Linked DNA regions of Callithrix jacchus. The protein of the gene in region 1 purifies or fractionates together with the protein of each later gene. This does not show direct contact. Links are inferred from orthologs where the notes say so. Each region holds a gene or a part of one and is shown on either strand. Other genes may lie near its edges.

The links.
Region 2: the proteins of EBNA1BP2 (region 1) and NOP2 fractionate together in Homo sapiens (co-fractionation; 3 studies listed by BioGRID and IntAct, with this or other methods). This does not show direct contact. The link is inferred for Callithrix jacchus from reciprocal best matches to the Homo sapiens genes EBNA1BP2 and NOP2.
Region 3: the proteins of EBNA1BP2 (region 1) and BRIX1 purify together in Homo sapiens (affinity purification with mass spectrometry; 4 studies listed by BioGRID and IntAct, counting the BioPlex papers as one, with this or other methods). This does not show direct contact. The link is inferred for Callithrix jacchus from reciprocal best matches to the Homo sapiens genes EBNA1BP2 and BRIX1.

The regions. Positions count from the first base shown.
Region 1 is NC_133508.1:79,827,971-79,838,706, reverse strand, and holds the end of EBNA1BP2 (putative rRNA-processing protein EBP2), read left to right. Parts: intron 1-185; coding exon 186-358; intron 359-1,232; coding exon 1,233-1,356; intron 1,357-3,057; coding exon 3,058-3,147; intron 3,148-4,812; coding exon 4,813-4,888; intron 4,889-5,124; coding exon 5,125-5,218; intron 5,219-7,471; coding exon 7,472-7,634; intron 7,635-7,784; coding exon 7,785-7,835; 3' UTR 7,836-7,966; downstream 7,967-10,736. UniProt on the Homo sapiens protein: Required for the processing of the 27S pre-rRNA.
Region 2 is NC_133510.1:20,749,486-20,760,221, reverse strand, and holds the start of NOP2 (28S rRNA (cytosine(4447)-C(5))-methyltransferase), read left to right. Parts: upstream 1-956; 5' UTR 957-1,041; intron 1,042-1,308; 5' UTR 1,309-1,312; coding exon 1,313-1,418; intron 1,419-2,781; coding exon 2,782-2,827; intron 2,828-2,986; coding exon 2,987-3,075; intron 3,076-3,262; coding exon 3,263-3,495; intron 3,496-5,705; coding exon 5,706-5,761; intron 5,762-5,881; coding exon 5,882-6,035; intron 6,036-6,133; coding exon 6,134-6,331; intron 6,332-6,470; coding exon 6,471-6,560; intron 6,561-7,658; coding exon 7,659-7,746; intron 7,747-7,825; coding exon 7,826-7,987; intron 7,988-8,550; coding exon 8,551-8,690; intron 8,691-8,833; coding exon 8,834-8,923; intron 8,924-9,040; coding exon 9,041-9,163; intron 9,164-9,286; coding exon 9,287-9,515; intron 9,516-10,736. UniProt on the Homo sapiens protein: S-adenosyl-L-methionine-dependent methyltransferase that specifically methylates the C(5) position of cytosine 4447 in 28S rRNA. Required for efficient rRNA processing and 60S ribosomal subunit biogenesis.
Region 3 is NC_133503.1:170,706,415-170,717,250, reverse strand, and holds the start of BRIX1 (ribosome biogenesis protein BRX1 homolog), read left to right. Parts: upstream 1-4,621; 5' UTR 4,622-4,645; coding exon 4,646-4,804; intron 4,805-7,505; coding exon 7,506-7,617; intron 7,618-9,236; coding exon 9,237-9,280; intron 9,281-10,836. Other genes in the region: cell cycle checkpoint protein RAD1, read right to left, coding at 470-728, 2,074-2,182, 3,572-3,769. UniProt on the Homo sapiens protein: Required for biogenesis of the 60S ribosomal subunit.

The DNA.
Region 1 (10,736 bases):
CGCTGTTGGGCTTGGGAGACCGATTCTTGTCCCAGGAAAGACGCACCCTGCACCTTGCCAAGAGGGTCAATTACCTGTCCGGGTATTGGGGATTAGCGGTTTGTCCCTTGGCCTTGCACCCTGTGCTTGTCAAAGACAAACTCAAGAGTTTCCCTTCTTATGAGTTCAGTGTCTGGATTTCCTAGAATGGCCTGAAGCAGTGTTTGGCAGAGTTCAAGCGGGATCTGGAATGGGTTGAAAGGCTCGATGTGACACTGGGTCCGGTGCCGGAGATCGGTGAATCTGAGGCGCCAACACTTCAGAACAAGGACCAGAAAGCTGTTGATCCAGAAGACGACTTCCAGCGGGAGATGAGTTTGTATGTTTGTTTTAAAATGTTGGAGAAGTTGAGTATTCTTACGCAGGAGAGTGAGAAAGAGGAGAAATTAATAAACCTGCACTCAGAAGAGGCAGAAGAGTAGGGAGAATGGCTTCTTTTGACTGAGAGTAGCTAGGAGATTCTCCCTGTTTGAGAAAAGAGCTCCTTGGTCCATGGTCACGATTCAAAGTCCAGTTTATGGGCTAATTTGAAATACTCATGTTAAAGTTTTTTGTGCATGCTTCAGTTATTAGAAAAAAAAAACCATTGCTTATGGGATGTTCTTGTGTGGAATTGCTTTAGTAATTACATTAAGAATCCATAGTTGACATTAGTTTGTTAATGGGTACCTTTAGAGTAGTCATTCTCTAAAACTAATTTATTTTTAGCAACATCCGTCCCCTTTTTAAAAAATGGTATATGGCTACATTTATTTCTTTCGAGATAGAGTCTCGCTCTGTCGCCCAGCCTTGAGTGCAGTGGTGTAATCTTGGCTCACTGCAACCTCTGCCTCCCAGGTTCAAGCAATTCTCCTGCCTCAGCTTCCTGAGTTGCTGGGATTACAGGTGCCCACCACCACGCCTGGCTAATTTTTGTATTTTTAGTAGGAACGGTGTTTCACCATGTTGGTCAGGGTTGTCTCGAACTGCTGGCCTCGTTGTCTACCCGCCTCAGCCTCCCAAAGTGCTGGGATCACAGGCATGAGCCACCGTGCCCGGCCTATGTTTCTTTTAGATACTAAATTAGTGAAGTTTGGTTACGGTTTTTGTTTGTTTGTTCTTGCTGATGGAGGTCAGATTTTGAGAGTCCGGTGAAAAGGAACGTAAGGCCCTTTTCCTTCACTTCATTACACCTTTTGTCCTACAATTCTCAGCTACCGCCAAGCCCAGGCTGCAGTGCTTGCAGTCTTACCCCGCCTCCATCAGCTCAAAGTTCCTACCAAGCGGCCCACTGATTATTTTGCAGAAATGGCCAAGTCTGATCTGCAGATGCAGAAGGTAAGAAATAGAAATTTTCCTCTAGAAAGCCAAAATTTTGTACTTAAGCATATTCAGCTGGCTTAGAAAGATAGGTATGGGTCCAATAATGGGGAGCCGTTGTCAGAGAACAATTATTACCTCTTCCAGAGATGGGCTACTTCAGAGTCATGCCAGTTACCACCAATTAGATGCATATAAGAATGACATTTTTTCTAAAATCAGCAATTATGGAGCGGAACAGTACTGTGAGAAGTGTGGTTCCTGAGATAAAGATGGCCCATTGCATTTCCTAGCTGGCTTGGTCATGGCATGGTGTGCAGAGAAGACAACATTCTTGTTGTACCTTTGCCACTGACAGTGCTAGAACTTGTAGACAATTACTTTTCTCTGGGCCTCAGTTTTCTCCTCTATAAAATGAGGGATTCTTAGATGCTCAGATGTAGTACAGTAAAGAGTTGGGTAGAACTTGGACCTCATTTAACTTTGGAGGAGGGGATTGCCAAAATGTAATCCAAGATATACTCGGCCCTCCATAGCCATGGGTTTGCATCTGTGAATTCAACCAAACTCGGATCAAAAATATTTGGTAAAAAAATTGAAAATGTTTCAAAAAGAAAACTTGAATTTGCCATGTGCTGAGAACTACATTGAATCCATGAGAATGAGGTGATGCGTAGCATTGTATTCGGTATGATAAGTAATCTAGAGACTATTTAAAGCAGAGTCTGGCAACCAAGGACTGGTTTTGTGGATGAAACTGGTCTGGAGGAGGGGATGGTTTCAGGATGAAACTGTTCCACCTTAGATCATCAGGCATTAGATTCTCATAAGGAGCATGCAACCTAGATCCCTTGCATGCACAGTTCACATTAGAGTTCATGCTCTTATAAGAATGTAATGCTGCCACTGATCTGGCAGGAGGTGGAGCTCAGGTGGTAGTGCTTGCTTGCCCACGAGTCACTTCCTCCAGTGCAGCCCAGTTCCTAACAGGCCACAGATTCATAGCACATTCATAGCAGTCTGTGGTCCAGGGATTGAGGTCCCCTGATTTAAAGTATACTGGAGGTAAGTGTAGGTTGTATGCAAATGCTACACCATTTCTATATAAGGGACTTGAGCATCTGTAAATTTTGTTGTCCATAGTGGATCCTGTAACTAATCCTCTACGGATACTGAGGGATGACTGTATTTAATTAGTACCCTTGGGTCTCATGCTGGATTTTAGGGAGCTTTTGTCTTGGTAGTAGTTCCCCTTCTCGCTGTGAACTCTGTATTCGTTCTCACTGACAACTTCTCATCCTTTAACTAAAATGTGTATGTTTGACTGAAAAGGCTAGGTACCTGATAATCTGCCTGGGTTTTTATTGTATATGTGGTATACCACAAAAGAGTGCTCAGGCTGCATACTGGTTTCCAGCTTCAGTCTACTGACAGTAGAAGTGAGGAGAAATTTGTCTTCTTTCCTGGACTTCAAATAGGCAGTTTGTATAATGAAACAGACAGCACACTGGGAGTGGGAAGGTGACTTTCCATCTCTGGCTTCACTGTGACACTTTTGGTAAAGTGTTCAACCTTTGGGCCACGTTGTCCTCAGGGGTTGGAATCAATGATTTATGAGTTCCACAGTTTTAGGGAATATCTGTTCCCTGCTCTAGTGCATCCTAAGCAGTGGTCATTCCAGATTCAAATACCATAAACTGACAGCATTTTGTGTTGTAGATTCGACAGAAGCTGCAGACTAAACAGGCTGCCATGGAGAAGTCTGAAAAGGCTAAGCAGCTGCGAGCACTTAGGAAATACGGGAAGAAGGTGAGAAGGAAAGTGTGCAGGGAATAGGAAGAGGCGGAGCCTGTGTGTTTGATGAGATTGCTGTGCTCTGACTTGGTCCCCTGAACTGAACTGTGTGTTGATCATGTGTTTACCATCTCTCGGTGTATGTGCTGGTATTCATGAGCACCATCTTGCCTGGACATGAGCGCTTCACCAGGAGTAGCATGGTGACTGCAGGCGAGCCATTCACTTCTCTGGGCTTTAATTTAAATTTTCAGATGAGCGGTTTCCAAACCTGACTTTATAGCAAAATCACCAGGGCAAATTTTTCAAAACAGAATTCTAGACTTCACAATCCCTGGGAATCTGTGCATGTTTCCCCCTCTTCCCCGAAAACTTTCCAGGTGATTCTGAAATGCATCCCGGTTTGGGATTCACTGGCCTGTGTGATAATCAGTCCCTGAAGAGGTTATTTTAATGATTGTCACCCAATCTGAAAGATTGCCTGTGTGTTTGAACTATGAACGTCTGAGTTCTTATGTAACACCAGATCAGGCATACTTTTCTTGGTTTTCCTTTTTTATTTCATGGTCATCTAAGAAAGAAGATGATGGGTTTTAAAGTTAGAATTATGGGAAGAAATGAATGTGAGGAAGATGGGCGTGGGTGTTGAGACTTTGTCAGCATTCGGACATAAGCATTTGTGATCTGGGCTGCAGAACTCTTGTCCACATGTGGGGTCGTTTCACTGATGCATTCTGAACAAAGTAAGAATAGGCCGGGATCCTGTCTCTACAAAGGGCCTGCCACGGATTTATTATTTCTTTGATCTGGAGGCAGATGGCTGAGATTATCTTAAAGACACCAATAATTAATTTAACCTAACCAAAGTTATTAAAAGCAAAGACAAACTCACTTGGGCCTATTAGTTCACTGTTTCTACTTTGAGGAAACATTGAGGAAGAGATTGTCAGCTGGGGTGAATTTGCTCCCCAGGAGTTTTCTGTCACTGCCTGAAGGTATGTTTAGTTGTCAAATGTGGGAGGGAGGGTGCTACTGGCATCTACAGGTAGAGGGCAAGGGTGCTGCTGAATGTCCCACAGTGCAGGACAGGCCCCTCCCCCCAGCAGTCTGTCCACAGTGTAGCAGTATCAAGATTGAGAAACTCTGTTAGAGTATTATAAAGTTTCTCCTTTTATTCTTAAAACCTTTTTCTTTTCTTTACCTGGGGACATTGTTTTTTTCTCTTCCTTTTGGTACTTTCATGCCTAGTAACAGTAAGTTAGATAGTTAATCTGTCCAAATATGATGGGAAAAATTGGATGTCGGCTTAAACATGATTTGCTGCAGTTTAGTAGGGAGGATTCTATAATAGAGTGAATGCTGGCTTTGGAGGCAAACAGCTTGGGTCATCTCAGCTGTGCACTTTTTCACTGTGCAACTTGGGCAGGTTAAATTCTGCGTGTTTCAGTTTAGGGGATAACACAAATTTCAACTTCACTGGATTGTTATGAAATAGATATATCTTCGTCTATGAAGAATATACCTAGATCTGAGAATATACTTAGAGCCCTTAACATAGTTTTTGGCACATAGTAAATGTCAAAGGGTAGCAGTATTAATCATGGTGTTGCTATTAAGAGAATGTGGACACTGGAGTAATGGTGTGGAATGGCTGTAACTGTCCTGGTGTTCATATCACAGGTGCAAACAGAGGTTCTTCAGAAGAGGCAGCAGGAGAAAGCACATATGATGAACGCTATTAAGAAATATCAGAAAGGTTGGTACCTCTCTCTGCTGGGGGAACAAGGGTAGCAGGTACTTTAGAGTTGATCTGAGCACTTAGTGCTTTGGAGCCTTCTTGGTTGATGTGGACCTATCGGATCTAAGTTTTGGAAATGGTGTTGGGGAGCAGGATGTCACTTTTAAAATCAGTGTGGCAAATAACAGCTTTATATGGTGGTTTCAACTTTTAAAATACAATGGTGCTGATCAGAACTGCTTCTTCACTTACAGGCTTCTCTGATAAACTGGATTTCCTTGAGGGAGATCAGAAACCCCCAACACAGGGCAAGAAGGCAGGAGCCAAAGGCCAGCAGATGAAGAAGGGGTGAGAAGTATTTTGGTATGGTTTCTTTGGTTCTGGGAGGTGCTGTGGGGCCATAGGTCACGAAGATGACAGGCGTAGCACCCCTACTGGCTCAGCTGTGAGTCCAGAGAATGCAGCTGCTGCCTGTGGCCAAGACTCCTAGCACTGTGTGATGGGTAATTTTAGCCATGTCAGTCTTTGAGGCATAAAAGAAGGCCCTTTTTAAACTTGTTTTTTTTTAAGACAGAGTTTAACTCTGTCACCTGGGCTGCAGTGCAGTGGTACAGTCTTGGCTCACTGCAACCTCTGCCACCTGGGTTTAAGTGATTCTTGTGCCTCAGCCTCCTGAGTATCAGGGACTACAGGCGCCCACCACCACACCCAGCTAATTTTTGTATTTTTAGTAGAGACAGGATTTCACCACGTTGGCCAGGCTGGTCTTGAACTCCTGGGCTCAAGTGATTTGCCTACCTCAGCCTCCCAAAGTGCTGAGATTATAGGCGTGACCACTGCACCCAGCCTAAGAAGGTACATTTAAGTATGTGGTACTCTTTAAGTAGATGCTGAGTAAAAGTTGAGTCCCCATCACACGGTGTGATGGTTGAGAGTTCAGGCCTAGGACTCAGACCCTGGCTCTGCCACTTAGTAGTAGGGCAGTTTTGAACAAGTTACCATACCTTTCTAAGTGCTAATTGCCTCATCTGCTAAGTTGAGGAAAGAGTATCTGCCTCATAGTATGAAGATTGAAAGAAGAATGCAGGCTCTTCAGTGTTTTGCATACCTGGATACCAGGCCTAGGGGAAATGATCATTTCCGTGTAAGGTAGTAAGTGCTATCTATGATAGAGGCATTTGGGGAGTAGTATTGAGGCAGCTTTTAGAAATACCTGATATGGGCTGGGCATGGTGGCTCATGCCTATAATCCCAGCACTTTGGGAGTCTGAGGTGGGCAGATCACCTGAGGTCAAGAGTTGGAGACCAGCTTGGCCAATATAGCGAAACTCTGTCTCTACTAAAAATACAAAAAATTAGCCAGGTGTGTGGTGGGCACTTGTAATCTCAGCTACTAAGGAGGCCAAGGCAGGAGAATCGCTTGAACCCAGGAGGAGAAGGTTGCAGTGAGCCAAGATCATGCCATTGCACTCTAGCCTGGGCAACAAGAGGGAAACTCTGCCTCAAAAAAAAAAAAAAAAAAATACCTGACAGGGTCTGGAGATGGATTTCTGGATTTCTGGAGGAGGGTTTGACTTGAGCATTGCCTGAAGCGTGAGTAAGAATTAACCACAAGAATAGGAGAGAAGCTGGGTTTGGGAAGAAGGAAGAGCTTGAAAGAGCAAAGCCATAGAGATGTGAAACCTCAGGGTTTTGTGAGGAACAGTAAGCCCTTGGTGTCACTGGGACTACAGTGCAAGGCAAGGAGGGGTGCGATGTGGCTTGGGAGACCTGCGCTGTTGGTTTGCCTTGTTGAGGAGCTTGGGGTTTGTCCAGAAGGCAGTGGGGAGACTAGGTTATAGGTTGTACTGACAATAATGAGCAAGTCATAGTCATGCTTTTAAAAAGATTACAGTGGATTTTGTATAAGTGAGGGACTTGAGGGAAGCTGGGAAATTGACAAGGAGACTAGTCCAGATGTGCAATGATAATAACCTGAAAGTGGCAACTGAGGGAGAAGAGAAGATGGACTGCAGGAACATTTAAGAGGTGAAATGAGCAGGACTCAGCAATTGAATTGGGTATAAAGTGAGAGAAGAACCAAGGCAGACTCCCACATGTTAGCCTGTGTGTCTGGGTTGGCAGGACCTGTGCCAGTCTCAAGTGAGCTCATATATACAGGAAGTAGAGCCAGTGCAGGAGGTGATGTGAATTTGGGGATGCTGAATTTGAGATCCCTATTGGATGACCTGTATTACATTTAATGTTAACTGCATATATTTACCCTTAAGAGGAATAGACACAACTGAGGATGATTTAACAAGATTTAGTTAAAATAGAAAGCTTTCCAAAGACACTAGGAAGCCACATGATGCATGTGGAGCCTTCCCTGCTTCTTGCTTTATTTTCCTGCCCTGGTGGTTAGAACTGTAAATAGTTGAGCTAGACGAGTGTATCTCGAGGGGCTGTAGCATAGGATTGTGGGGCCAAGGATGAGATTCTGGGTCACAGTAGTGCCTAAGGGGCTTTGCTCATAGAAAGAAAACTAAGAGTATTGCTGGGCCATCAGATTCATCAGACTTAACAGTGCTGCGGGTGATGTCTACGAACATTCTTTTCCAGGCCCAGTGCTAAACGACGGTATAAAAACCAGAAGTTTGGTTTTGGTGGAAAGAAGAAAGGCTCAAAGTGGAACACTCGGGAGAGCTATGATGATATATCTAGCTTCCGGGCCAAGACAGCTCATGGCAGAGGCCTCAAGAGGCCTGGCAAGAAAGGATCAAATGTAAGTGAGCCCAGGTGCCTGGGTGAAGAGCAGGCTCAGCCTCCCCATCCCACTTCCAACCCTCCCCTTTCCCTTCTCTTCTGTTCATCCTCACCCTCGGGCAGAAGGCAAGCTGCTATGTGACCAGATGTGGTATTTCTTTTTTTGTAGAAGAGACCTGGAAAACGAACAAGAGAGAAGATGAAGAACAGAACGCACTGAACAGCATCTTTGAATACAAAGAACCAAGAAAAAGGAATGAAGACTTTGCAGTTTCACAGCACATTTTTATCCCTTCTGTTGGTATCATGTTGTAAACGTTTCTTTCAATAAACTAAAAAAAATTACTAAACGAACACATACCTTTTGGTAAAATAGTCCAGACTAAAAGATTTAGATATTAAATGACATTGCTATCTATTTAGACATTGAGTTCAGATTGCCTTTATGTTATGATAAATGATGATTTAACTGACACCTCCCTCATTTCCTTTGCCTCATCCTTCTAAATAGTGATATTACAGTCAGTCCCTGTAGAGCTCAGTGCATTGTGGTAAGATTTCCTTTGTGGTACAGCTTTTGGCTTTTCCTCCAGTTAATCTTCACCTTGCATTCTTCTGCTTGCCTAATCTTCCTTCTGTATTCTTATATTCTTCGTTCTTTCCAGATGCTTTGTCATTTTACCCACTGTATAATTTTTCTCCTATAACCTAGATATGCCACACAACTGTCACCTTTTTTCTGGACCTTCTAAGTTGGCATCATTATTTCCAGAATCCCATATTTTCCCATCTTGGCATATGCTGCTTTTTCTGTGTACCATTTTTTAGTATCTTACTAAGAAAAGGAAGATGAGAGGTAAACTTTTTATCTCCTTGCATTTCTGAAATTGCCTTTAATTTGGCTGATAGGAATTTCCTCCTTAGAATTTTGCAGGCACTGTTTCTAGGTTTTTTTCAGTTCTAATTTGGGGGAGAGAGATTTCTTTATTTTTTAAAATATTTATTTACTTATATATTTTTTGAGACATAGTCTTACTCCATCGCCCAGGCTGGAATACAGTGACACAATCTTGGCTCACTAGAACCTCCGCTTCCTGGGTTCAAGTGATTCTGCCTCAGCCTCCTGAGTAGCTGGGATTACAGGCATGTGCCACCATGCCCGGCTAATTTTTGTATTTTTAGTAGCTACAGGGTTTCGCCATGTTGGCCAGCCTGGTGTTGAACTCCTGACCTCAACTGATCCACCTGCCTCTGCTTCCCAAAGTGCGGGGGTTACAGGCGTGAGCCACTGCGCCCAGCCTACATTCATTTTATTGAATATGTATTTTAGCTTTCATTTATCCCCCAAGAGTTCCTTATTCTCTAATTGGTCATTTTTCATATTTTACTCATTGTCTGGATGCAGTATCTTATATCTCTCAGGATATGATTATAGTTTTAATTTTTTGATAAAGTTACCCTCTGTTTCTGCAGCCCATGCATTTTGATCTCGCCTTTCCCATGTTTGAACAGTAAAGTATTGTAAAAGTTAAGAAGCGTGGATTCTGGGGCCTGACTCTGTTACTTACTTGCTGTTTGACCGTAGGGATTTTAACATTTGCTTTGTCATCTCTGGCATAAATATAGATGTATCTACTTCATTGGGTTCCCATCAGCATTAAGTTAATCAACGTAAAACATTTAGAACATTGCCTGCCATATAATTAGAACATTATCTTAATGTGGTGTAATCTGATAATCCTCTCATATTCCTTTGATTAGGGTTATCTTGCTGGGGTTTCTTAATATCTGGCGAGCCTTGGTTGTTCATATTTGAGAAGTACTAGCATCAATGGAAGCTCTGTGTAGGTGGTACATTGTGTAGGCAGGCCATATTGATTGTTGGGCTTTTACTCTGTGTTGTTAGGATGGTAAGCCGTTTTACCTGCCCATTCTCTCTCCGTTCCAGTTTAGAAACCATACTTTATTTTTAAGGTAGTTAGAAATGCTTGAGAGCCATATAGTATCTTAAGCAGAAAGGATAACTTATTTTCACATTTTCTTCTTGTAGCATTATTGGCACATAAAAAAGGATATTTCTGGATTCATTTGCTAAGATTGTGATGTAGAACAAAGAGAATAATATGTTATTTCGCACATTCACAGCAAAGTGTGTAGTTGTGTGGCTTCTTTGTCTTTAGCAATAAACTGATGGGCATTTTACAGAAGTAGATACCTGAGAGGGAACTGACCACCAGGGATGAATGTATACCAAAGAAACAAAAGAATAGGCACAGTGGCTCATGCTTGTAATCCCAGCACTTTGGGAGACCAGTTGAGCCCAGGAGTTTGAGACCAGCCTAGGCAGCACAGTGAAACCTGTCTACAAAAACTTTTTAAAACTTGGCCGGGCATTGATGGTACGCGCTTGTAGTCCAAGCTACTGGGGAGGCTGAGGTGGGACAATCTCTTGAGCCTGGGAGTTTGAGGCTGCAGTGAGCCATGTTTGGCTCTGCACTCCAGCCTGGGTGATAGAGTGAGAACCTGTCTTAAAAAAAATTTTTTTTTTTAAATTATAAGGCTGGAAGTAAAATTTGAGTGCAATGGAAATGGAATTGTAGGTGAAATAGCTGATGTTGGACTGTGAGTGCTGTTGCCATTCTAGAGACTAGATATATAGCCAGGTAAACCTTGTGAAGGCAAACTTACAAATGAGGAAAGAGATGGAAAGGATGAAGATGTCTCCAGGGAGTGACACTAATGAAAAACTTCACATTAAAGGGACTCTTGGAGATACCTAATGACATTGGAAGATCAAGTGATAAAATGCTAGAACCGAATCCAAACTTAGGAGTAAAGACAATTTGCCAAGGAATGGAAAAGATGCTTGTTCTATATCGTAAGTTAGAGAAGGAGAAAAAGAAGCATATTTTTTCATTCAGAAACAAAACCCTTGATTCTCAATGTTTCTACTGTCTTAGTCTACTAAATATTAGTATTTTTTGTTATGCATTGAACAGAGTTTTTAATACTTTCACACAATTTTTTTCATTGTTCAGTTTTTGTTTCTAAGGCTTAAAGATTCATACTCTTTAAAAGGACTTTTGGACACATTTTTTAAAGGTCACAGAACAATTGTAAT
Region 2 (10,736 bases), on another chromosome or scaffold:
ATTATAGACTTGCCTGAAAGCGAGTTCGGGCCGAGACGCCCCCTGTGAACGAGGTGCAGTGCAACACCTCAGCTGAGGGGCTGAGCATGTGTGAACGTCAAGGAAGAGGCTGGTAGGGCGGGGCGCGGTGGCTCAGAGCCTGTAATCTCAGCACAAAGGCGGGGGATGATCGCTTAAACCCAGGCGATATAGTGAGACTCCCCCTCCCCCCCCCACCCCGTCTCTATAAAAGATTTTTAAAAAGGGGAGGCTGGAAGTAGAAGGTAAGTAAGTGGTAAGGAATTCCATGATTTTTTTCTCTTTTTGAAGTGGAGTTTTGCTCGTGCTCAGGCTGGAGTGAAGCGGCACGATCTCCGCTCACTGCAACCTCTGCATCCCGGGTTCACGCAATTCTGCCTCAGCCTCCCAAGCAGCTGAGATTATAGGCGCCCACCACTACGCCCGGCTAATTTTTGTATTTTTAATAGAGATGGGGGTTTCACCATGTTGGCCAAGCTGGTCTCGAACTTCTGACCTCCGGCGATCCACCCACCTCGGTCTCCCAAAGTGCTGGGATTACAGGCGTGAGCCACTGCGCCCGGCCTGGAACTACATTATCTCGATGCTGGATTAAAGCAGTGCATGCCAGGGAGAGGACCCCGCTGTCGGGCCCCGGTTCGAGGAGAGGGTGCGGCTTTCACGCACCAGCTTTTCCGACAGAAACCAGCCGTGAGGCTCAAAGCCAACTCCTTGAAGGAAGGGGGGGGCAAGCTGAGAGGTTTCGTCACATTGCTCCTTCCATCCCCCGAGGGTGTAAGCTGCGCGTTCCCTTCGAATTTCCCCCTGCCAGCTTCCGCCCGCCCAGCGCGCTTTCCCAGAGCAAGCGTAAGTTCCGGGTGCGGCGGCCTACTGGTCGCAACCGGAAGAGGCGGGGCCACGAGGCTAGCGCTACCCATGCGCCTGCGTGGGACGGTTCTGTGGCAACTGCGGGCCGAAAGCTAGCTCCGGAGTACACGTGGAGCGCCGCCCGAAGGGCAGTCTCAGGCGGTAACCCGCGTTCTGGTGGGTCTAGAGGAAGCTGGGGGACGAAGAGTGGCAGCGCTGACCTGGTCTGGGACGTGGGGAGAGGGATGCGCTACCTGGGTTTCCGAGTGGGAGGACGTTTGATCGGGCCTCCAGGGGGATAGCGGGGGTGCTTGAGTCGCGGGTGCTGAGTCGTGGGTGCTGAGTTGAGGCTGTGCCTTTTCCCACTCTGATACGCCAAGCCTGCGTTCTGCCATTCCCTCTGACACGCACGACGCTATCTTCTCCCATTTCTGTATGCCACAGTACCATGGGGCGTAAGTTGGACCCTACGAAGAAGGAGAAGCGGGGGCCAGGCCGAAAGGCCCGGAAGCAGAAGGGTGCCGAGACCGAACTCGCCAGATTCTTGCCTACAGGTAACAATTAGTTGTGGCCCCCTGATCCCTCAGCTTTTGCAGTATTCTGTATCATAACCTCCGCTCTTTTTTCATCTCTGTTCATTTTCTATTCAGTCTTCTCTGTATGAGTTACTACGAGGTATAAATGAAACACTGTCGTTGAGATTGTAGGAACTGTTTAGGTCATAGAGAAGATGTGACATGGACACAACTATTCCTGCAAAGAAAAGTGCGATTTAAAACATTGTGGGTTCAGAGGAAGGGAGATCCTATGCAGAACTGTAAAAGTTTTTGTTAAAATGGGTTTTGAAAAATGGGTAACATTGTAGTAAGAGAAGTAGCGAAAGGGGAGGGGTCGGTCAATGACTTGCCTTTTGGAAGGTATGGAAATGGAAAAGCATGGATCTGGCTTCTCCATGCCGATCCGTCTGCTGTGTGGAAGACTGGACTGGGAGTTTGTGTTGGGCAGTGGATAAAGGATGCAGTTTATTGAGATGGTACCAAATCCTGGACACTATTGAACTTGTTGGTTATGTTATATCACTTCATCGTCTTAGAGTCCTGTGAGAGAGGCACTATTAAGGAAGTGGATGCTGAGACGTTAAGAAACTCGTATAGCCAGGTATGGTGGCTCACGCCTGTAATCCCAGCGCTTTGGGAGGCCGAGGAAGATGAATCACCTGAGGTCAGGTATTCGAGATCAGCCTGGCCAACATGGTGAAACCCGGTCTCTACTAAAAATACAAAATTGTGGTGTCTCAGGCCTGTAGTCCCACATACTTGGGAGGCTGAGGTAAGAGAATCTCTTGAACCAGGGAGATGGATGTTGTAGTGAGCCGAGATTGCTCTATTGCACTCCAACTTGGGAGACAAGAGTGAAACTCCATTTCAAAAAAAAAAAAACTGGTATACAGCTATTATATAATGATAGGGCTGAAATTCAAATGGCCTCCCTTTAATTAGGGTACTAATTCTCTTACCACTTTTATTTTCATTCCCGTTTTTGTTTTTTATTTACTTTTATTTATTTATTTTTTTTGAGATGGAGTCTTGCTCTGTCGGAGTGTGGGTTATAATGCAGTGGTGTGATCTTGGCTCACTGCAACCTCCGCCTCCCAGGTTCAAGCAATTCTCCTGCCTCAGCCTCCCGAGTAGCTGGGACTACAGGCGCATGCCACCATGCCTAGCTAATTTTTGTATTTTTAGTAGAGACAGGGTTTCACCATGTTGGCCAGGATGGTCTTGATCTCTTGACCTCGTGATCTGCACGCCTTGGCCTCCCAAAGCGTTGGCATTACAGGCATGAGGCGCCGCACCCAGCCCTCCTTTACTTTTAATGTCTCCTGTAACTTATTCTGCCTCATTTTTCTTTTTTAAACAGTAAGTGATGAAAATTCCAAGAGGTTGTCTAGTCGTGCTCGAAAGAGGTAAGTGTGGGTATCAAGACTTCAGTAGGTTAAATTGGTACTGCTCATCTTTGACCACAGAGTTAATTGTGGACTCTCATATTTCCCCGTGGTGGAAATGGCAGAGCCTGGAAGTATCTTCCCATTTCTTCACTCCTTGTATCTCTTGTATATTTTCAGAGCAGCCAAGAGGAGGTTTGGCTCTGCTGAAGCCCCTGAGACAAATAAGTCTCCTGAGGCCAAGCTGTTGCCTGGAAAGCTACCACAAGGTCAGTGAAACTAAGAGCTGGATGCTACATGTGGAGTCCTCTGGGTCCTGGGTAGGGAAGGACTTGCTGAACATTTCTAGAAAGGAACAGCCAAAGGACATTCTGAGGAGTAGAAAGTACAGGCTCCTAGGGTGTGGGGCCAGGGAATGTGTGGCTGCCATTAGTTCAGAACTCTTCAAACCCTTAGGGATCTCTGCAGGAGCTGTCCAGACAGCTGATAAGAAGGGAACCCAGTCCCTATTTAATGCTGCTCGAGGCAAGAAGCGCCCAGCACCTAGCAGTGATGAGGAAGAGGAAGACTCTGAAGAAGATGGTGTGGTGAACCACGGGGACCTCTGGGGCTCCGAGGACAGTGATGCTGGTATGGTAGATGACTATGGAGCTGACTCCAACTCTGAGAATGAGGAGGAAGGTGAAGAGGTGAGATTCATCTCTCGGGGCATTCAGAGAAGGTCCTTTCCATTTAGTTTTTTTCTAGATTTTTGAGACTATTTTTTAGTGACAAGGATAAGCCCGATTAGAGGAAAGCAATTTTTGTGCTCCATCACTGTTTCCCTACTGCCTTACATCCTCTCCCAGTGCACCTACAAGTTTGAAACTGCTGTGGATAGAGCATTTAAAAAAATCTGGAAGGCTCTGCTGATGTGGATGTGGGAAGGTGGACAATGGTATGTTCCACCGACGGGAATAGACATGTAGGCACTGTTTTTATAAAGCAGTTAACTCAGAACTTTGAAAAATGTGTTCCGGCCGGGCGTGGTGGTTCAAGCCTGTAATCCCAGCACTTTGGGAGGCCAAGGTGGGTGGATCACGAGGTCAACAGATCGAGACCATCCTGGTCAACATGGTGAAACCCCGTCTCTACTAAAAATACAAAAAATTAGCTGGGCATGGTGGCACGTGCCTGTAATCCCAGCTACTCAGGAGGCTGAGGCAGGAGAATTGCCTGAACCCAGGAGGCGGAGGTTGCGGTGAGCCGAGATCGCGCCATTGCACTCCAGCCTGGGTAACAAGAGTGAAACTCCGTCTCAAAAAAAAAGAAAAGAAAAGAAAAATGTGTTCCTTTTGGCTGGGTATGGTGGCTCACATCTATAATCCCGCACTTTGGGAGGTTAAAGCAGGAGGATTTCTTGAGACCAGGAGTTGGAGACTAGCTTGGACAACATAGAGTGAACCTGTATCTACAAAAAATTTTAAAAATTGGCCGAGTGCAGTGGCTCACACCTGTAATCCTAGCACTTTCGGAAGCTGGGTGGATCACCTGAGCTCAGGAGTTCGAGACCAGCCTGGGCAACAAAATGAGACTCAAAAAAAAAATAGCTGGTGTGGTGGCATACGCCTGTAGTCCCAGCTACTCAGGAGGCTGAGGCGGGAAGATGACTGGAGCTTGGGAGGTTAAGGATGCAGTGACCTACGATCTTTACTGCACTCCAGCCTGGATGACAGAGTGATACTGTCTCAGAAAAAAACAAAACAAAACTGAATCCTTTTGACATAGTAATTCCCTGTTAAGGAAGATGACCCAAAATGTAGGCAAAGAGTTATTTACTGAGGTGTGCAGGAAATTATTATAAAATTAGTGTGCGAATGTATTATTAGAATTGTATAGAATAAAAAAAGTTTCCATGTGCACCCTTTCCTGCAACGCCTTATATCTACAGAGTCACTATGAGGTTTGCAGGCACCATGTTGATCATGATGGCAGAAACTCTGGAAACTTCCAAAATATACAATCTGCTTAAGTATATTCATGCATATGATGTAGTTAACACTGGTCATTATGTCTGTGAAAATGCTTGTGATCTAACTGAAGTATCAAAAGCAAGAAACAAACTTGAAAATGCATTATGTGAAAAATATAGAGTAAGTCTGGAAAAAATATGGCAAAATGGTGGCCAAGGGCAATTTTTTGTCTTTTTTTTTTTTTTTTTTTTTGCAACCTCTGTTTCCCGAGTTCAAACGATTCTCCTGTCTCGGCCTTCTGAGTAGCTGGGACTACAGGTGTGTACCACTACGTCCGGCTAATTTTTTGTATTTTTAGTAGAGACAGGGTTTCATCGTGTTAGCAGGATGGTCTTGATCTCCTGACCTCATGATCCGCCTGCCTTGCCTCAGCCTCCCAAATGATGGGATGACAGTTGTGAGCCACCATGCCTGTCCTTGTCCCTTTTTATACATACAGGTATTTGTATTTCAAGTTTTTTTTTCTGAATGGAAAAGTGAAAAACATAGGAGTAGAAAAAAAAAGTGTAATTACCGATTTAATTCATTACTTAGTTTTTGTTTTTTTTTTTGAGATGGAGTCTTGCTCGGTCGCTCAGGCTAGAGTGCAGTGGCTCAATCCCAGCTCACTGCAACCTCCACCTGCTGGGTTCAAGCAATTCTCCTGCCTCAGCCTCCCAAGTAGCTGGGATTATAGATGTGTGCCACCACGCCTGGCTAATTCATTACTTAGTTTCAACAGTGGTCAGTATTGTACCAATCTTATGTTCATTTCTTTGCTTCTCTATTTCCTTCTGAGAGCAAGTGTCAACATTTTTATTTAGCAGAAAAAATAAGATACAGAGATAGAAAGTGCTTCATGGGCTGATGGAAAGGCAGGCCTGTGTTAACAACCCTTGTCTCTTCAGTTGCTGCCCATTGAAAAAGCTGCTCGGAAGCAGAAGGCCCGGGAAGCTGCTGCTGGGTGAGTTTTGGAAGCAATTGGGATGGAGCATAGGCAGCAGCTGGGGTGGGGGAAGCCGTGAGGAAGGAGGAGGTGTTTGTTTTGGTTTGTGAATCACTCTGTTCCTGGACCTATTTCTAGAGTCCAGTGGAGTGAAGAGGAGACAGAGGATGAAGAGGAAGAAGTGACCTCTGAGTCAGGCCCCCCAAAGGAGGAGGAGGCAGATGGGGGCCTGCAGATCAATGTGGATGAGGAGCCGTTTGTGCTGCCCCCTGCTGGGGAGATGGAGCAGGATATCCTTGCAGGGCAGAGTGAGCAGTAGGAGGAAGGTGCTTAGTAGAGCTATTTCCAGGCCCTAGGACATCATGACACAGTTCCTTAACAGGCCCACATGCCCAGGCTCCAGACCTGCAACGAGTTCACAAGCGGATCCAGGATATCGTGGGAATCCTGCGTGATTTTGGGGCTCAGCGGGAAGAAGGGCGGTCTCGTTCTGAATACCTGAATCGGCTCAAGAAGGACCTGGCCACTTACTATTCCTATGGAGACTTCCTGCTTGGCAAGCTCATGGACCTCTTCCCTCTGTCTGAGGTACTAGATTGCCAGAATGCCCCCTTTGCTTTTCTTTCTCACCACCTTACCTGTGTAAGGAAGATGTTCAAGCCTCCTTGTCTCCCTCTGACTGAGCTCCTTATCCAGCCTCACTTATTCCCTGCTGTCTTTCCCGAAGCTGGTGGAGTTCTTAGAAGCTAATGAGGTGCCTCGGCCCGTCACCCTCCGGACCAATACCTTGAAAACCCGACGCCGAGACCTTGCCCAGGTAAGGGGTGGCTTTTGAGGTTTGCTCACCTCAGAAGGGGACTGACTTCTGCCAACTCCAGAGGTTCCCCTATGCCACCCTGACTGGGTGGGGCCTTAGGACCTAAGCAAGATCCTGGGAGGCAAACCCAGAGGCCTGGTGTCTCTGACAGGCTAGGGGCCTAGGACCTCTGGGAAATGGGAAGTTCATCCCTCCATCCGGCTTTTGCTTCCTGTGACTGGGATGAGTGTGCTGCCTCCCAAGGAAGTTGGAAGATCATTGAGGAGCTGGGGAAACATAATTCCTCACTGCAAAAAAAAGACATATACACATATGCACACTCAGTATTTTGAACTCATTTCCAAGGGTTCAGGGGCCCGAGATTAAAGACCCCCTGTTCTGAAGTCAACTGTTTGGTTATATGTGTTGTATATCTTGGTGTGAAGAAAACCTAATAATGTTATATGCTGTAACCAATATTAAATTTTTTGGATGGGGGAGGGGCTCAGCCTCTTAGAAAATCAGATGCCACTTCCAGGAAATAAAGTAATAGGAGGTGGCATCCTGCTCCGTTGGAATGAAGTTCAGACCTTGAGTTAGGAGCCTGAGGTTAAGAAAAAAGGGCACCATAGGATGGGGTGAGAGAGAGAAACTGCTTGATGAGTCCATGATAACTGTGTTCTCAGTAAGCACTCTAGGAGTTGTGGGGCCATGGGCCGTGTTCTTATGAACCATGTTTTTAATGTCTTTATCTGTTTTCTGGGTAGAGTAGCCTATGAGGTTATTAAAATCTTCATCCTGGTCTGGCGCGGTGGCTCACGCCTGTTATCCCAGCACTTTGGGAGGCCAAGGCAGGCGGATCACCTGAGGTCAGGAGTTCGAGACCAGCCTGGCCAACAAGGTGAAACCCTATCTCTATGAAAAATACAAAAATTAGCCTGACGTGGTGGTGCATACTTTTAGTTCCAGCTACTTGGTAGTCTGAGGCACGAGGAAGAATCGCTTGAATCCAGGAGGTAGAGGTTGCTGTGAGCTGAGATTGTGCCACTGCACTCTAGCCTGGGCAACAGAGTGAGACTCTGTCTCAAAAAAGAAAAAAAAATCTTCATTCCCCTTCAGACTCTAATCAATCGTGGGGTTAACCTGGATCCCCTGGGCAAGTGGTCAAAGACTGGACTAGTGGTATATGATTCTTCTGTGCCCATTGGTAAGTCTCCTGTACCCAAGAGCCCTTCCACCTCTGTTCCTGTCCCTACTGCATGTCACAGGGTGGTCCTTCTCCACAGGTGCTACCCCCGAGTACCTGGCTGGGCACTACATGCTGCAGGGAGCTTCTAGCATGTTGCCTGTCATGGCCTTGGCACCCCAGGAACATGAGCGGATCCTGGACATGTGTTCTGCCCCTGGAGGAAAGACCAGCTACATTGGTAGGAGAGAGGGGCAGACAGGTGGGATTCACTGGGCTCTCTTGCTTTTGAAAGTAGATGGGGTTGCTGACTCACTAGGGCTCACAGAGTGCAGTGTACAGGCAGCCAGCAGAGTGAGGAGCAGTTTCTGGAGTCGGCCTGGATTCCAGTGCCGGTGTGCCACTTACTACTCATCTGACTATGGGTTCTCTTTTGTCATCCGTAAAATGGGATGGTAATTGTGCTCGGGTCGGCCCTTGTATTATGCTTGGATTGTGAGTGTTAAGACGATGCATTTGGAAGTCCTTGGCAGTGTTCAGCACATAATCAGTAGTCATAACTTTTATTAAGCTGCTATCACTGAAAAGAAATAATTTAGTATGTACCAGACAGGTGTTCAGTAAAAATAGGAAAACCACATCGGTAGACTTGCCAACCACCAGGGGCTAGTGCAGAGTGGATCAGCCTATCCAGTGGGCTGGCTTGTTGGGAGTGAAGTTGCCGAGGTGATGACGCTTCTCATGTGGATTCCCAGGCAGGAGGGTGGGAGCAAGTGTGGAGACAGCAGAACCGGCTGATAAGCACTGTTACTGCCCTCCCTTTAGCTCAGCTGATGAAGAACACGGGTGTGATCCTTGCCAATGACGCCAATGCTGAGCGGCTCAAGAGTGTTGTGGGCAACTTGCACCGGCTGGGAGTCACCAACACTGTTATCAGCCATTACGATGGGCGCCAGTTCCCCAAGGTGAGACTTGAGCAGTGTCTCTCCGGAGGCTTCTTCCACTTTACCTTCTCCCTTCCTGACCTCAGTGTTTAGATTTGACCCTAGTAAATAGTGCACTGCCGGTTTCAGAAGAGACATCTGATTCATCTGTATCTTTTCCCCAGGTGGTGGGAGGCTTTGACCGAGTACTGCTGGATGCTCCCTGCAGTGGCACTGGGGTCATCTCCAAGGACCCAGCTGTGAAGACTAACAAGGTGAGCAGTCGGGTCGTGGGCCCCTGAGAGGCCTTGGCTGGGTCTTATAGAGCTGGAAAGAGGGGTGGGGACTCTCCTCCCCTCCTGAGGCTACCTTTGGGTCTCCTTTTGGGACAGGATGAGAAGGACATTCTGCGCTGTGCTCACCTCCAGAAGGAGCTGCTCCTGAGTGCTATTGACTCTGTCAATGCCACCTCCAAGACAGGAGGCTACCTCGTTTACTGCACCTGTTCTATCATGGTGAGACTCGCCATGGCAGAGCCAGGGAGGCTGGGCTGGGAGGGCTCTTTGCCCATTAGAGCTCCCTTCAGCTCCAGCTCTGCTTTTTCCTCCCTTCTGTCTTTGTCTTCCCCTCGCATCCAGGTGGAAGAGAATGAGTGGGTGGTTGACTACGCTCTCAAAAAGCGGAATGTGCGGCTGGTGCCCACAGGCCTAGACTTTGGCCAGGAAGGTTTTACCCGCTTTCGAGAAAGGCGCTTCCACCCCAGTCTGCGTTCTACCCGACGCTTCTACCCTCATACCCACAATATGGATGGTTTCTTTATTGCCAAGTTCAAGAAATTCTCCAATTCTATCCCCCAGTTGCAGACAGGTAAGTGATGTTTTTCTACCCTTCACCACTGTTGCTCTTTCCACCTTTCAGGAGGCTTTATGGAGTGACAGAAGGGAAGGGAAAGGAAAGATTCATGCACCCCTTACTCCAGCCTTTGCATGCTTGGATGAGAGAAGCCTTTCATTCCGGCTAGAATTGTTTTTGATTGCAGGGTCCGTGTGAATAGGTTAAAGTGTTCATTAGGATGGAGGCCTTTTCCTGTATTCTGCCGAGTGGCTGCAGTTGTTCAGCACTAAATGCATTCCAAATGCAGGTTGTGGTTTTCTTTTCCTTCTTGGCACAGGGTTGACTTACTGGTACTGTGCCTCTGCTGGTCCAGCATTCTCAGCACTGGGTTGGAACGGAGCTCCACAGAACTGTCAGCAGTTCTCTGAGCCCATCACACTCATTGCAGATTGTTGTCTCAGCCATCTCGAGGAGTCTGTCCTGGATCTCAAGGGAAGGGTGGGGTTTTCTGAAACAGCCTTAAGAGCGCTGCTGGCCAGGTGCGGTGGCTCACGCCTGTAATCCCAGCACTTCGGGAGGCCGAGCGGGCAGATCATGAGGTCAAGAAATCGAGACCATCCAGGTCAACATGGTGAAACCCCGTCTCTACTAAAAAATACAAAAATTAGCTGGGCGTGGTGGCACATGCCTGTAGTTCCAGCTATTCAGGAGGCTAAGGCAGGAGAATTGCTTGAACCTGGGAGGCGGAGGTTGCAGTGAGCTGAGATTGTGCCACTGCACTCCAGCCTGGTGCCTGGTGACAGAGTGAGACTCTGTGTCTCAAAAAAAAAAAAAAAAAAACCAAAAAATAAAAAGAGTGCTGCTTACTGGGATATATCTGGGTTTAGTTGGAAGAGGGAGAGAAAAGATACTTCATAAACAGTAGAATTTGTCTGGGCGTGATGGCTCATGCCTGGAATCCCAGCACTTTGGGCGGCCAAGGCAGGGAGATCACCTGAGGTCAGGAGTTTGACATGGTGAAACCCTGTCTCTACTAAAAATACAAGAATCAGCCGGGCATGGTGACCTGTGCCTGTAGTCCCAGATACTCGGGAGGCTAAGGCAGGAGAATTGCTTGAACCTGGGAGGTGGAGGTTGGAGTGAGATCCCGCTATTGCATTCCAGCCTGTGTCTCAAAAAAAGAAAAGAGAAAATAAAATTTGCTATAACTTAAAAAGTACAGAAAATGTTAGTCCTTGTTGATGTTTTCCTAGC
Region 3 (10,836 bases), on another chromosome or scaffold:
TAAGTTGTTATTCCTACAATGGTCAATAAGATGAATAAGCACATGGTAGGTGATCAACAGATACCTTAGTGAATGAATGAACCACATGTAGAAAACATGTTCTGCATCCTGAACTAACTTGAAAAAGATACCATATAATACAAATACCCTTTCCAAACACTTAAACCCAATTTTCCTCATGATGTAACCTGATACATGACAGTAAGTAGTATGAAAACATTACTAGTTTAGAAATTAGGGGACCGGGCTTCTCATCTACATGCCAACACCATCTAAATATGAAATAGTGAGTTAATCTTTCTGGGTCTTAAGTTTCTTGATCCATAAAATTATGAGTAAGAGTACAAGCTATTTAAAGTTGTGAAAGCTCTAAAAATGTGGATAATAAAAATTCTGCATCCTAAGCAAATGTCTAGAGGGAAGACAGAGTACAGACCACATGAACTATAACTCCACCGCTCTCAAGTACCTGAAATAAGGCTTGTCAGGAGACATCGTAATCTGTAAGACTTCACTCGTCATATCCAATTCAGAAAATGCTTCACGGAGTCCCTCTGACTGCAGAATAATTTTATTAATAACATTGGTGCTGCAGAAGTCAAAGTCCAGGGTCTCCTCAGGTTCCTGCGTATTGATTTTGCAGACTGTTACCACCCCTCCTTCTTCTAGGAACAGCATCAAAGGGTAACCATCACCTTGGTAACACATCCGAAGAGCAGTTAAAGTCCCTGCAATGGAAAGAAATCATACTTGGCCTTAGCTTTATAGCTCTGGGTTCAGCTTCTCCTCAAAATGATATAAAATTTCTCAAGAATAATTCATTCCACCAAATTTCTCGCATATACGTATCTCCTCATAAAAAGGGATTATATCTTCCCTGATGACAGTTGTATGTAGACAATTCCAAACATACAAGAAAATTGGGAACCAGAACAAAATGTAACGTAACTCTCTGGTATCATTTTCAGGTTGTCATAAATACCTCAGAAATAGCTTGATTTTATATACATAAATTTCAGGATAGAGAATCTACATGGATCAACACAGCAAGTAACCAAATTGCCGCAGAACACAGTATGCTATTTCTTGAAGGTTCAATGTGTGTAACAGTGGACTGCTATGTGTACTGTAATGTCAGTGTATTCACTCTTATAAGGATCCTTCCAACTTTTCCAACTCAGATATTCTTTATATTTTTTCAAATTTCAAAATTAAATTGAGACAAAAAGAGGGTTGTTAATAGTGGTGTAAATTCTAACACTGCAAACCATTAGGGGAAGGAGGAATGTGATAGGATATTCAAATTCCTCCTTACTGCATGGAGAGCCACAGTGAGGAATGGAAGATGACAGATTCTTTCATGAAAAACCAGCTGGAGAACACGGTATTAGAAAATGTATAGTTAGTTAATAACAGTGGAATTGTCAGTAGAAAATTAAAATACATTTTTCTGGAGAACTATATTGGAGAACTATATTGAATTTTTCCTAATCTCCAGGTTGCTTTCCTATGAAATAAAATCATTCTTCTGGGGATTCCTGACAGTTTTAGACCCACAGCAACTAAATTTCACCATTCTTAAAAATAATTCCCTTAAGAAAAAATATGTTTAAAAAAATCATTTGGCAAAATAGACATAACTTATAAAATATGGCTTGAAAGAAACAAATTTTGAACACAGTACAAACTAGGAGTCAGTAGAACCGGCTTCTGTTTTTCCCTGCCACTAACTAGCTGAGTAATTCTGGACAAGTTAGGGAAAAGAAGCAATTACGTTTCACAATGTTAAAGATATTTAAGACATGCCCAAAGCATTCTTTTGGCCAGTTCAGATTTAAATTCCCTCAAAGCCTTGTAAATTAAAAAAAGACAAATGTTAATACTTTTACAAAGGAAAGAACTATAAACACACTTGCAATTAACATTGGGAAAAGTTAGAACCCATGACTGTGGCCAATGAAAAATGAATTGGCAATAACTTTCTGAACAAATGTTTATATTCCAAATAAATTCCTGAATTTTTCTGTCCATTGTATATAACACTTTTATGTCCTTCTACTGATAATAGTTTACCTGGCATAGGACTTGATCCAAAAATAGATAAACAGTCTAAAAGGACAGTTAAATTAATTCGAAACGTAACAGATTCTTCCTGAACTTTAAACTCCTGAAATATTCCAGCCTATGAAAAAAGTAAAAATGAAAATGGTTACACAAAAGAATGAAAACTAATACATAAGGTCCTAGATTTCACTTTATATGTTTAAAAAATACAATACTGTGCTAATCCCACGAGAATAATTTCTCATTAGCAATCAAAACATCCTAGAGACATCCTTGTGAAGCATCCTTATCTCCATTCCTGGATCTAAAACTATCCCTCTGTGACTACCCCTTGTCTCATTTTTGTGCCTATCACTACTGCTTAGGTCACTTGGAAAATACACAAACGACTTGGTAACGCATGAACAATATTAGTTTCAACTTTTTTTTTTTTGAGACAGAGTTTTGCTCGTTACCCAGGCTGGAGTGCAATGGCGCCATCTCGCCTCACCACAACCTCCGCCTCCTGGGTTCAGGCAATTCTCCTGCCTCAGCCTCCTGAGTAGCTGGGATTACAGGCACGCGCCACCGTGCCCAGCTAATTTTTTGTATTTTTAGTAGAGACGGGGTTTCACCATGTTGACCAGGATAGTCTCGATCTCTTGACCTTGTGATCCACCCGCCTCGGCCTCCCAAAGTGCTGGGATTACAGGCGTGAGCCACCGTGTCCGGCCTAGTTTCAACTTTTATTATTATTTTTTATTGATATGGGGGTCTCACTATGGTTGACCAGGCTGGAGCAATCTTCCCATCTCTGCCTCAGCCTTCTGAGCAGCTGGGAATACAGGTGTGAACCACTATACCATGTCCTGCATGAGGGCAAGAACCATGTCTTATTTACCTTTCTATCCCTGACGTCATGCTGTGCACTTAGGTGTTAAAAAACGCTTAGTTGAATTTGCAATCCTATCTTAACCATACAAATATTACTCTGGAAGAATAAAAATTCTACTACAACCAGTAAAGGAAAAAATACTCTTTAGTAATAGCAAGGTGGTAGTATCGCAGTGGTAAAGAGCATATATTCTGGAAACAAATGTTCAGGGTTCTTATCCCAATTCAGCCACTTAACAGCTGTGGGGCTGCTGGCAAATCACTTAAATTGTGCCTCGTTTCTACATATACAAAATGGAAATAATAACAGAACCTACCTTACAGGACTACTGTTAAGATTAAGTAAGTTAAATACTAAGAGGAGTGCCTAGCTAATAGTCTAGCTTTTTAGTCATTACTAACCATTATCTCTGTAAAACAAGATGGGAAAAAAAATTTGTTACCAGGAGAGAAAAAAAAACTCAAGTAAAGGCGTTTTGTTCTCTGACTTAAGACTATACAGCTATTTATTCATATACTATTTATTCAGGACTATTGACTATAAAGTCATTTATTGTCTACTAAAACCTTCAGATTTCATTAAACTGCATTTAGAATATCTATGGCACAGGCTTAAAGGCACATATTTCCATACCTGAATAAAAGCATTTGCCTGCACACACTTTGCATTTTCCACAGTTACTTTGATTCCATTTTTAGTTGCAAAACATGTGGCATGTTCTCGGAAATGAATAGCTTTCAAGATAGTGGAGAGATTCCTAACGTTGTCAAGGCTGGCCACGAGGCTGTACTGATCATCATCGTCTTGGATCTGTTGGGTCAGAAGGGGCATTGTCCGCTGCACATTCGGCCCCGAGGGATGCTTCTGGGGCCAACACCTGCTCCCGCGGATCGCGAAATACCTGAAGGGATTGGACAATAAAACTCCCATCAGTGCTGGCGAGGTCTGGCGAGCTCCACCTGCGCTGAGAAATGGAAGGGGATTGGGCAGCTGAACTTGGCTGACCAGGCCGAACCCCACCGATGCCACTTAACTGTCTTTGTAACTCTGGGAGAAAATTTTCTAAGCTACGGTTTCCTCATCTCCGTAAGGGGACAATAACGTGAAAAGTTGTGAAGAATGAAGACACGCAACTGACACGGTATCTCCGCTTGGGGCCAGCTTATCCCGGCCAAACAGGAGCTACGAATCCCTACGGAGTCGGTTTTGTGTCGCCCGCGCCGCAAGCCTCGCCTCCAACGCAACAGGCGATGGGGGGGGGGGGGGCGGGCTCGGAGTGCCCAGAAGATCCCCCAAGGGTCCCAGACAAGCCCATTCACCAGCTCGCCCGCTGGACAGCATCACTTACTACTCTCAGTCCTCGAGTGCTGACACCCTACCTTTGCAGTGGGGTCTGGACGCCCGAGAGCCCTTCCCGGCAAAGTCCCTGAGGAGTAGCAAGGCGGCTCCGAAAAACCGCGGAAGAAGGGAAGCGGGTCCCGACACTTTTCAGCTCGGCCCTCCACCTCGGCCACCGTCACCATGGAGCGGAACGAATCCTAGAGAGCCAAGCGTGCAGCGCCTCCAAGACCGGAAGCAGGCAGGCACCACCGAGCTGGAGGACGACCGCTGAACCGAGCGCTTAGAGCCGCCGAACCATAGAGATCGGAAAAGGGTGCGAGCGGCAACACCGGAAAGAAGGCCAAAGAGCGCAGGCGGCGAGACAAGATGGCGGCAACCAAGAGGAAACGGCGTGGAGGCTTGGCAGTTCAGGCGAAGAAACCGAAAAGAAACGAGAAAGATGCCGAACCGCCAGCTAAGCCTCGAGCTACTGCAGAGGAGGTGGAGGAAGAAGAGAGAAACCGGATCCCAGGCCCCGTTTGCAAGGTAGAAGGGTTACACCAACAGCCGCGGCTCTGTGCGCCTTTTCTTGGGGGTTCTGACTACAGCTCTACTAATTTTAGAATAGCTCGGGTGTTGACCGTAGGTCGGTTTTAGCAGTTCTCCCGGCCATACTGGACACGGAGTTTATAGCTAATTCTTGTGCACTTGGCCGCCCTCCTGGGGGCAGCGGGTTTTAGAACCTTTAGCCGGCCCACGGGGAAGCGACTGACAGGGTGCTCAGATCCAGCGTTGTCTTCCTAGTTGTTCAATTATTTTTGGAGGGTGGTGCTTTTCCTTGGTTATTTCTCGCTTTTGAGTATTTCTTCCAGTGATTAGTATTCCTATATACGGCCGAAGTCAGCTGCTGTCAGGCAGGGATCCTGAAGCTTGTTAGGTGAGCCTTTAAAAAGTTGTTGGCCTTGGGACTGTGAGTTGTTAACTAGGTCTTTAACTCAAGGGATAATGAAAGATAGTCCAGATACTTTGAGCTTTACCTGTATTGAACAGACATTGAATGTGCCACGCATTGTTCCAAGTTAAGCTTCCTTTGGCAAAGATTGCAAAGGTGACTAGAATGTGACCTCTTCCTCCTGAAATGTTGGAGTTCAGGAGGAAACTTAAGTCAGAGAAGTTGGTGGTTTTTATTCGAAAGAAGTGCACGCAAGTTGTTTCAGTTAACTTTCATTCAACTAAGAACTATTCTTAAGCTACACAGTATACTGTGGAGACAAGGATTATCTTTGACATTAATTTCTCTGTCCTCTGCACTTAGCATAGTACACTCTAGTACGGAGTAGGTGATAAGTAAATGACTCCATGTGGTGTGATGGTGAGTGAGCTCTGAGGAATGATAAGTGTGGGGGCCGGGCGCGGTGGCTCACGCCTGTAATCCCAGCACTTTGGGAGGCCGAGGCGGGTGGATCACGAGGTCAAGTGATCGAGACCATCCTGGTCAACATGGTGAAACCCCGTCTCTACTAAAAATACAAAAAAATTAGCTGGGCACGGTGGCGCGTGCCTGTAATCCCAGCTACTCAGGAGGCTGAGGCAGGAGAATTGCCTGAACCCAGGAGGCGGAGGTTGTGGTGAGGCGAGATGGCGCCATTGCACTCCAGCCTGGGTAACGAGCGAAACTCCATCTCAAAAAAAAAAAAGAAAGTAAGTGTAAATTCTAGGATCGTTATTAACAGCAACATTCTGTGCTCTTTTCTGACCTGCAGATTAGGTGGGAGTGGGAGTGGGAGGGTGGGGGGAGGGAATACTTACTTTTTATGAAAAATAAGCTGGACTTGTACACTTTCAATAAATGTTAGTGCTCTCTTCGCTCAAGGCGTTAGTTTCTATAATCTGAGCCATACTTTAATACATTCTGTGGAAATGCAGGAGATTGAGATTACTTTTACCCTAGTATAATAAGATAAAGAATCTGGAAGGATTTAGATTTAACCTTTAAGCTGCATATCAGAGGAACCGGAGAATTTTGGCATTCAAAAACGAGAGGGAACACTCCAAGGGAGAGAAAAAAGAACTGATGAAAGACTTTGAGGTAGGGAAATGCTGAAAAATGTAAAAAATAGAACCAGATTGGATTGCATTAGGCTTGATTTGGGGCAGTAATGATGTAAAAATGAAAATTTATTTTCCAATTCAGTGTCAAAGCTATGTCATTCAGATTTTGTTTAGAAAACTCTGGGAAGTAAGGATGTGATTGAAGTATTTAAAAAGTAAGCTGTTGAAAAAGCTACTCAACCATATCTGTTGGAGAAGCTCATGTCTGGGATGGTTAGTCATTGAGGAGTTTTGTGGTTCATATAAGGCACTAAATAAGTGCAGTGTGAATAAGAAAGGATTAAGAATTGTTGAAAAGAGAAATTGATAGCATTTTATAGTGCTTATGATGAGATGGGAGAAACAGGGCAAATCGAAGATTCAAACCTTGAGGGACTGAAGTGACAGCATCCAAAAAAAAAAAAAAAAAAAAAGGAAAAGAAAGAAAATGAAATAGCAAGGAAATGCACCAGATTTAAGAGGTCTAAGAAAATGTTTAGTATTGTAGAGTTGAGTTTGAGGTGTTAATGAAATACTTGGATTATTAGGGCTAGAGAGAGTTCCCTTCTGTAGAGTGGACAAAAATTAAAGTTGTGGGAAGTTATTATGAGACCTGGCATAGAGAGCACAGAAAAGAGAGGGCTAAGCAAGAACTTTAAGGGTTAGGAAGAGGAATTGGAGAAATCGAAGATGAAAAAGAAGAAAGAAACCAAGGAGGGCATTTCTGGGTGGCAGATGTGGTCAGTGAATGTTGCTGAGAGATGGATTAAAGGAGTCAGCATGGTTTGACTTGCTACCTGGAAGCTCTTGAAAAACAAACAGGGCCAGGTGTGGTGGCTCTCACCTATAATTCCAGCACTTTGGAGGCCAAGCTGCTTGAGCCCAGGAGTTGGGAACCAGACTGGGCAACACAGGGAGACCCCCGTCTTTACAAAAAAATTAAATTAGCTGGGCATGATGTGACATACCTGTAATCTGCAGCTACTGCGGATGCTGAGGTAGGAGGATAACTTGAGCCCAGGAACGTGAAACTGCAGTGAGCTGTTAGCCTGCATCTCTGCATTTCAGCCTGGGCAACTGCATGAGACCCTCTCTCAAAAATAAGGTCAGTTCAGTATGAGATTTTAAAATCTTTTAACATTTTCTCTTTCTTTAGGGCAAATGGAAAAATAAGGAACGGATTCTCATCTTTTCTTCCAGAGGGATAAATTTCAGAACAAGACATTTAATGCAGGACTTGAGAAGGTTGATGCCTCATTCTAAAGCAGGTACCTTTATATCATATACTTTAGAAATTTCTATCTATAAACTCACCTATTTATATGTTGATACTTATTTTATATATTCTTCATTTGTTCAGTCTTTTCAGGAAAAAAACACAATACCTTTTATCCTTTCAAGTGCCACAATTTTTCCAGTTAACATTTTATTAGAAATTCTTTAGACTTCATTAGGTAGTTTCTTTACTTTTTCAAACAGATATCCTGATATTATTGAAATATTTCTTGAAGGTCCAGGAATGCCTTTATTGTAATGCTCCTAAAGGTCATGACATAGGTGGGATTGTTTGTCCTAAATGATTCAGGACTACAATGTGTTACTTTTTAAGCTTTTTTTTTTTTAAACTATTTTTATTGAGAAATGGACGTGGGATAGAATTTGAAGCATCTTTTAAGTCAGAGCCTATTTCTAAATGCCAAGTTATTTATTTATTTTTAAGCAATGGGTTATTTTATAGGCACAAACAGTATGGCCAGGCATGGTGACTCATTGCCTGTAATCCCAGCATTTTGGAGGCCGAGGTGGGTGGAACACTTAAGTTCAGGATTCCAGACCATCCTGGGCAACATGGTAAAACCCTGTATCTACAAAATAAAAAAATGAAAAAAGTAAAGTAGCCAGGTGTGGGGGCCACCCACATGCAGTCCCAGCTATACAGGAGTCTAAAGCTGGAGGATTACTGGAATCAGGAGGTCATGGCTGCCATGGGCCATGATTGTGCCACAACACTTCAGCATGGGCGATGAGCAAGACCCTGTCTTAAAAAAAAAAAATAAAAAGTTTATAACAGTGGAGTGGCAGCGCCATCATATGGCTGTTGTGCTTATGTTGAGAGGTGCTTTGGGTTTTTTGTTTTTTGTTTTTTAATTTTTAAAATCGGGGAGTATCTGTGCAGGTTTGTTACGAGGACAGTCTGTCTTCTTTGATACCTATGATTAAAAAGTGAAAGATATTTTCACTGAAACTGGTTTCCTTTAACATAGTCTTTGGTTTGTGAGAATTTTTCCATTTTTGAAAAGGTTTCCTAGAATACCTAAAGACTGAGAAACACTGCTTAAACTGTAATTTATAATTCTTGCAGACTATTTTTTACTTATTTTCTTTACAGTGACAAAGAATTAAGATTTTTTATTTTTAATTTTTATTTTATTTATTTATTTATTTTTGAGACGGAGTTTTGCTCTTGTTAACCCAGGCTGGAGTGCAGTGGCACGATCTCGGCTCATCGCAACCTCTGCCTCCTGGGTTCAGGCAATTCTCATGCCTCAGCTTCGCGAGTAGCTGGGATTACAGGCGTGCGCCACCATGCCCAGCTAATTTTTTTGTATTTTTAGTAGAGACAGGGTTTCACCATGTTGACCAGGATGGTCTCAATCTCTTGACCTCATGATCCACCTGCCTCGGGCTCCCAAAGTGCTGGGATTACAGGCGCCCGGCCAGAATTAAGATTTTTTAAGTGATTGTTTTCAGGTCTTGTTTTGAAAATTAATAATAAAAATCTCCTTTAAACTGAAGAGTGTAAAAACAATTTCTAGATAGCATATGTGGTTTGATTGAAGTAACTTTGAAATCACCTTTAATTTACTTGCTTTTTCTTTTTTTCTAGATACTAAAATGGATCGTAAGGATAAGCTATTTGTGATTAACGAGGTAATTTTGGAAAGTAATTGCAATAAAATATTTTAGAAACACTAACAATTGCTTATTTCAAAAATAAGTCATGCAGTGACTTTAAAAATTGTTTTGTAAAAGCTCTTCAGACACATTTTATTATCTCTTCAATAACTGGGTCTTTCAAATTTTTATATCTCACAGTTCTTCACACATTTCTGTTTGTCTTGTTTGAACAAGCATATTGAATTTCCTCAGGACAATGATTGTATCCCATTTCCTAATCCCGTAGTGTCTAGTATTATGCCAAATCCCAAGTAGATACTCAAAAAATTATCAGTTGACATATATAAAGTAAAATTAAAAGTCCATTAAACATATAAATATGAAAACCCACATGGGAAAACACATTTTGCTAGTATTAAAAGTGATTCATGTGGAATTGGCACTTAAGCCATTACAAACTAGGAATAGGTTACATTTTTGAAGTATTTTTTAACATACTACACTCATGTATTTTTTTTTAAGCTCTAGAAGCACAGCACATAAATTTACATTTTAAAGCAAAATGTTCAAAACTTAGAAGAATTAAGATAGTTTTTTCACTATTAGAAAGCCTTCTTTAGAGTACAAACTTTAGAATCTCTGCTGTAATCCCACACTATTCCATGTGCTGTAGAAACTGCTTAACAGAGCAATGTTCCTGTCCTTATGGAACTTACATTTAAATGGAGACAGGCCATAAACAAGGTTTATAATTTCAATTAAAGGTAGGAGAAATAAAGGAGGTTATAGGTTTTCGACAGCTCAGGCTAGACCAGAAAAACATTTTCTAAGGGATGATGTTTAACTTAATATAGAGAAAATGGCAACTACAAAGGCCCAGAAGTGGCACAAACTTCCCATTTTTGTGTTTATTTAAGACCAGTAAGAAACAAAAGCATTGGACCTAAGATTCTTTTTTAAGTTGTTAGGGTTTATTTGTTTGTTTTAAATATTTTGGAGACAAAGTGTCGCTCTCCTGCCCAGGCTGGTGTGAAGTGGTGTGATGTCAGCTCACTGCAACCTCTGCCTCCCAGGTTCAAGTAATTCTCCTGACTTAGGCTCCCTAGTAGATGGGACTACAGGCACATGCCACTATGCCCAGTTAATTTCTTGTATTTTTAGTAGAGACAGGGCTTTGCTCTATTGCCCAGGCTGGTCTCCAGCTCCTGAGCTTAGTTCATCTGCCTCAGCCTCCCTAAGTGCTGGGAGTACAGCCATGAGCCACTTCGTCCAGCCATAAGTTGTTAGGTTTAAAGTCTGAAATATGGAGTTTATGAGTATTATATTATTTAGAGTTTATGAATACTATAGCAGTAAAAGACTTCATTCCTGTAACGTTTCTGTATTTTTCTCAATTGTGACTTTGTAAACCTTCAGGACCTTGAAGTTTAATTTGAAATAGGTTTTATATAGACTTTTTACCCAATCTCTTAGTGATTTTATAGAAACAAATCACCAGAAATGGTAGTATAAATGAAGAACAGCTTAAGTTTTGTGATCTTAAAATCAAAAAGCTAAAAAGTTAAAAATCTAAATAATCATTAAAAATG